Tribolium castaneum: one gene and its partner. Each later gene encodes a partner of the first gene's protein in a complex. Links are inferred from orthologs where the notes say so. Each region holds a gene or a part of one and is shown on either strand. Other genes may lie near its edges.

Region 1 (2,849 bases):
GTGAGAATTTTAATTATTGTACTTTAATCGATTTTGATAGTTGCATGTCTACAATTAAAAAAGATACGGGTAATAGCTAAAGCGTGTCCTGGGAATTTCTTCGTAAATTTTTATCAAAATTTTTATATTTAAAATGAGGTAATAATAAGAAATTAAAGCGGCACCCAATCAAAAAATCGTCTGCAGCGAATATTATATCTGGTAAAAATTTCATCAAAATGGCTTATGAGATCTCAAAATCTCCTAAAATACACAAAACGTGAGGCTAACTTGACTTGTGTAATAGCTGTAGGAATTTCAGGCAACAAACCTTCAAGGGACTCGTTTTTTTTCGTAGTCTCCTCCTCGATGCCCAATTAATTAACATTTTAATTATCAATTATACCAACGCAAACTCGAGTTAGAGGGGAATTCGCGTTTTAAATAACCCTTCAAAACAAAGTTTGTTAATTAAAAACTCTGTTTGAAGAGACGACACTGTCAACTTTTTCATGACAAAAAAGCTGTAAGAAGAGGAAAAAATGAAATATCAATCTGACAGGCATGGTTGATATTAGCGAGGAAAATTAATTGTGTAAGAGGTGGCTTTAGCGTGTTGGTGGAAAATTTTTCCTGCTCTTCACACTTTCACGCAATTTTGCCATTTTTCAGCACCTACAATTGGAACGAATTAATTTGCATTATTTAACTGACAACGAATTTTAAACAAGTGAAAAAACACGCTGGAACCTTTGCTTTGAGGGACAATAAAAAGCCAACATGTTTCGGTGTTTTTGTTGGAAAAGTGGAAAACATGGACGAGGATAGGGATGCATAAAATTTGCGAAATCAATAAAAAGAAACGCAGAAAACTCGTCTGAATTCGTGTTATTTATTTCGTTATATCTAAAGTAATCGCCAGTTGTTTCCATTATCACCACTGAGAGAAAAAAACTAAAAAATTCCCATAAATGGAAATTTTTGAAACGAAACGAAAAACAGTGAAACCTGTACTATTATTACTTTCGTCTTCGCAATAATCGATTAATCTGACCGCATTTATGATTGAATGCTACCTTGGTAATCAAACTACTGGTTACTTTCACCGTTTGACTAGCAATGAGGTTTTCAAAACGGGCGGCAAAAATTTTGAACTTTTTCAAACTGTCAGTGTTGCCAAGCCACCGACCCCAACACGCCACTTGTCATCTTGACAGCAAATATTGTGGTTATGTTTGACAATGGCAACACCAATAAAAGACGTGATTTTGAAAGAAAATGCGCCAGTTACGATACTTTTCGACAAACACATCGAATTCCTGCGGGACTACGGCAAAGACGACAACAATTTCGAGTTCGGTATGACGGACTACCTCCGCGTTTCCGGCATGTACTGGGGCTTAACAGCGCTGGAGCTCCTCGACCAGACACATTCCTCGCCTCAGGAAGAGATCGTCACTTATATCAAAAACTGCCAAGACCCGGAAACGGGCGGAATCAGTGCGTGCTTGGGGCACGACCCACATTTGCTCCACACTTTGAGCGGCGTTCAGATTTTAGCAATGTACGACCGATTGGACGCAATTGATGTCGAGGCTGTTGTGAAATACGTCAAGTCGTTGCAACAACCCGACGGAAGTTTTACGGGAGACAAATGGGGCGAAGTTGATACGAGGTTTTCGTTTTGTGCGGTGGCCACCTTGTCTCTGCTCAAGAGACTGGACGCTGTTGACGTCGACAACGCCGTGAAATTTGTCGAGTCTTGTATGAATTTCGACGGAGGGTTCGGCTCGCGGCCGCTGTCGGAGAGCCACGCGGGGTTGATTTACTGTTGTCTGGGGTTTTTGTCAATAACCCACCGTCTTGACTTGGTGAAGAGGGACGTTCTAGCGTGGTGGCTGTGCGAGAGACAGCTACCGTCGGGGGGCCTCAACGGCCGGCCGGAGAAGCTCCCCGACGTTTGCTACTCGTGGTGGGTTTTGTCCTCCTTGACTATTTTGGGGCGACTTCATTGGATAAGTGGCGAGAAATTAAAAAAATTCATTCTGGCGTGTCAAGACACCGAAACTGGGGGCTTCGCAGACCGGCCTGGCGACGTGCCTGACCCTTATCACACTGTTTTCGGCCTTGCGGCCCTATCGCTGCTCGGCCAAGCCGAAATCAAAAACGTCAATCCCACTTACTGTATGCCGCAACACGTTATTGATAGCATGCAACTATCGCCTCAAATATTACGTGATTAAAATTGATAGATCCAACCTTATATGCTAATTTTGATAAGTTTTAGCCCGCACGTGATTTTAATGTATATTGGTTTAATTTTATAATGATAATAAAGCCGATTTCTAAGTGATTTGTGTTTTGTTTGGACTGCGGTCCGCATAATTGATTTTGATGATTTAGGTCGAGCCCGGTGTAGCCATTTTCAAAGTGCCTGCTTTTTCTCCACAACTATACGGAAAACGAACGCGCATTTAGGGCGGCCGTGTGTCACCACCTGCCCCAAGAAGTCCTCAAATTGGGGGTACTTGCCCGGGAAGCCGGTCCCCATGGGAGAAGACACACCGTTTGGGTGGGTATTCAAGTCTTACTCATTATCACTGCTTTCAAATTAAAACTAGAGTCTCAATAACTTTTGATATTGAGTAAATATTACTTCAAACAAAAACAGCTCAATTAGTTTAGTTATTTATTTAGTAAATTTTTAAATCCCCTTAATTTTTTGAAACATTTTTGAATAGTTGGCGCTTTGTTTTCAAATCAAGGTTGATTTTTGAGTTTTGATCCCAGTAGCCCCCAATTTTATACAAATTTAATAAAAAAAATGAAATATGATGATTCCAAGGTAGTGTAAACTCGTTTAAACTACT
Region 2 (2,812 bases), on another chromosome or scaffold:
GTTACTCCGATTTTATGCGAAATTGGGCGAAAAAAGACCCGCAGTTTTGCCAAAAAGTGCACGAAAAGCTCACCGAGTTGGTCCAATTGGCTAAGCAGAGTAAACAAAAGAGTCGTTCGTATTCTTTTGAGTCAATGAACAGAGATAAGAGACATTTCGTGCACGAGTATTGTGAGCATTTTGGGTGTGAAAGCGCCGCCTACGATGCGGAACCCAACCGAAATATCGTTGCAACTGCCTTTAAGGACAAGTCGTGGTTGCCGAGTATGAGTCTATTGGAGTTTATTCAGAGGGAAAATGGGCAGAGGAAGGTTCCAGGGCCGGTTCTGAGCAAAGGGACGTTGGGGAAGTCGGAGACCGTTGCCTTGAAATTGCCTGGAAGGGGGCAGAGGGGAACGCCATCAGGAGAGACCGTGGATTATTTCGATAACCCCCCAGTGTAATGTTTTATAACGTATTATGTTTAGTATTTTTGAAGGTTAATAAATTGGTTTGTAAAAATCCGGTCATTACATTTATTGTCGTAAATATACATTCAACATTTAACGGTTATTAGTAGGAATAATATATGAACATCCAAACTTCCAGGCTGTTAAATAATTGGGGTAAATAAGGAATGATTTAACTAAACGTGCAACAGCTGTTGGTTTTGCGAGCCGTTTTGTAAAACGCCTTTGACTGTATACTTAAACCTTCCGACTTTGACACCAAATCGTCCAGCTTTTCGCCGCGTTGAAGCACACTTTCAATTGCGTGATGCTGGAAAATTAGTTGTGGAAATTGTCATTTGACACAACCACTTACTAGAATTATTTTAGTCTCATCGAGATCCTCTTGAATTTTAGTCATAGCGTCAGCTTCGCGCGGATTTTGGTATTTGGATAAGTAAGTGTTGAGTTGCGGAAACGCCACTTCGCGTTCTGTTAAATTGGGCCAACTTGAAGCCGGGATTTTTTGGCTAAATTCGTCCAAAATCTTTGTAATTAAAGTGTGTGAGACCCGTGTTGGGTACTCGTGATCTGATATAACAACGCCGGCTAAATTATCGGATCTCACATAAACGTGACACATATACTCTGAAAAAGTGTTACATTATTTGTGTAAATAAATGCTTGTGGAAAAAACCTCCTTCCTTTACGGACTGTCGTGACGCTGGTATTGTTCTCTCGACGATTGTTTTACAAAAAAAAGTCATGAATTCTTCCACTGATCCCCGTTGAAAAAAACTGAAACTTTGTAGGTCAAAGGCTGATTTTAACCATGTTGCACTCGTAGGTCCTTTATACAAAACACTAATACAGTATAACTTGACCATATTTAACGATTTTTCGGGAATTAGAACGGAATTATATAAGACATGCCATCGTACACATTTCTTGAGCTTTCTAAAAGTTAAATCACGAATAGGATTTACGCCAAAGCAATTAAACAAACATAATTTGCCAATAAACACGAACGAATAATAAAATTTGACAGGTGATAATTTTTGACTGACGGATGACGTTGAGCCAGGTCAACCAACCTTCCTATTTTCCTATTTTAATTGAATAGGATAATAATTAAAAACGGAATCATATAAGAGAATAAATTACAAATAACAGCACCCGTGATTTTCGCTTTGAACTGATTTGTCCCGTTTTTATAACTTGTATTTTCCAAAATTTTGGTAACCAAAACCATACACGGTTACCAACAACCATTACTGCTGTCAATTTTGATAAAAGTTTTAAATAATTAAAGATTTTAATTAATGCTTGACCAACACGTCTAATTTCTATTAACACCGCAAGTAGGGTAATATGGGGGACAGCGGCATTTGCAAAATCAAGCCCGAGTAAGACTGCTCATTTTCCCACGTGATATAACCCCACATTTCACCCTTATTTTAGATTTATTCTCACAGAACGTCCAAGAGAATTGGCATTAGAGTGCGTTTCTGATAAAGACAAACGCAAATTGGCCGAAAACGATGAGACACCGCCCGAAAAAAAACCCAAATTATCAAAAAGCGAAAAGAAAAAATTACGGGGTCAGAATAAATCGCGCGGTCCTACTTTTAGGTGCACCCGAGAGACGGAATTATGTAACACTTTGATTAACTTAAGTATTGGCGAAAAGGCGCCGAAATGTGAACGCAAAAATTGCCAGTTTTTGCACGACGTTGACGAATATTTGAAAATCAAGCCAAAAGATATCGGTTTATTTGTGCTTGTGCATTAATTTGGGCTTAATTCTTGGTTTTAGGAGAGATTTGTTACAATTATGAAACTTTCGGACGGTGTGGCAGAGGTCTGGCTTGTAGGTTTGGTTCTAGTCACATTGACCAAGGCCGAAATAAAATCAATTCGGAAAAATTGGTAGAAACAGCGCAAGCAAAAAATCAGTTAACGCACGAACTACAAGTCGCGTTACGCAAACGGACGTATAATTTTGACTTCGCCGAGAGTTTAATTAAATTCAATGACAATAAGAAAAGTGTAATTATTTTGTACTACTTTTACTCGTTTTATTTAAATTTGGGTGTTTAGGACGATAATAAAACAAGTGGGGCCATTAGTGATGAAGACTTGATTAAATTGACTCAACGAGAAAAAAAAAAAAATCGACTGGAGGGACAAACTAGTCTTGAGCCCTTTAACAACAGTTGGCAATTTACCGTTCAGACGAATTTGTAAAGAATTCGGGGCTGATGTAACCTGCGGTGAAATGGCAATGTGTTCTTCGCTTCTGCAAGGGGCCCCTCAGGAGTGGGCCTTGGTGAAGCGCCACCACAGTGAGGACATTTTCGGGGTTCAATTGTGCGCAAACAACC

The links. Proteins that work in one complex are often made in the same cells at the same time.
Region 2: the proteins of RabGGTb (region 1) and Ykt6 are in contact, whole or in part, in a crystal structure (PDB 6J7F), measured with the Homo sapiens proteins. The link is inferred for Tribolium castaneum from reciprocal best matches to the Homo sapiens genes RABGGTB and YKT6. Residues at the interface, in NP_004573.2 of Homo sapiens: Thr3, Pro4, Gln5, Lys6, Asp7, Ile9, Lys11, Tyr37, Leu45, Trp52, Leu236, Asp238, Cys240, Arg281, Gly283, Asp284, Met285, Asp287, Phe289, His290; in NP_006546.1 of Homo sapiens: Lys60, Gln62, Asp63, Leu65, Asn83, Glu84, Tyr85, Pro86, Ser87, Leu153, Asn155, Thr156, Glu158, Arg189, Lys190, Cys194, Cys195.

What each region holds. Positions count from the first base shown.
Region 1 is NC_087395.1:14,839,390-14,842,238, reverse strand, and holds RabGGTb (geranylgeranyl transferase type-2 subunit beta), read left to right. Parts: upstream 1-1,162; 5' UTR 1,163-1,220; coding exon 1,221-2,222; 3' UTR 2,223-2,332; downstream 2,333-2,849. Other genes in the region: lipase member H-A, read left to right, coding at 2,383-2,551. UniProt on the Homo sapiens protein: Catalyzes the transfer of a geranylgeranyl moiety from geranylgeranyl diphosphate to both cysteines of Rab proteins with the C-terminal sequence -XXCC, -XCXC and -CCXX, such as RAB1A, RAB3A, RAB5A and RAB7A.
Region 2 is NC_087398.1:3,641,787-3,644,598, reverse strand, and holds Ykt6 (synaptobrevin homolog YKT6), read right to left. Parts: upstream 1,467-2,812; 5' UTR 1,316-1,466; coding exon 1,126-1,315; intron 1,077-1,125; coding exon 805-1,076; intron 760-804; coding exon 622-759; 3' UTR 502-621; downstream 1-501. Other genes in the region: stc (protein shuttle craft), read left to right, coding at 1-443. UniProt on the Homo sapiens protein: Vesicular soluble NSF attachment protein receptor (v-SNARE) mediating vesicle docking and fusion to a specific acceptor cellular compartment. Functions in endoplasmic reticulum to Golgi transport; as part of a SNARE complex composed of GOSR1, GOSR2 and STX5.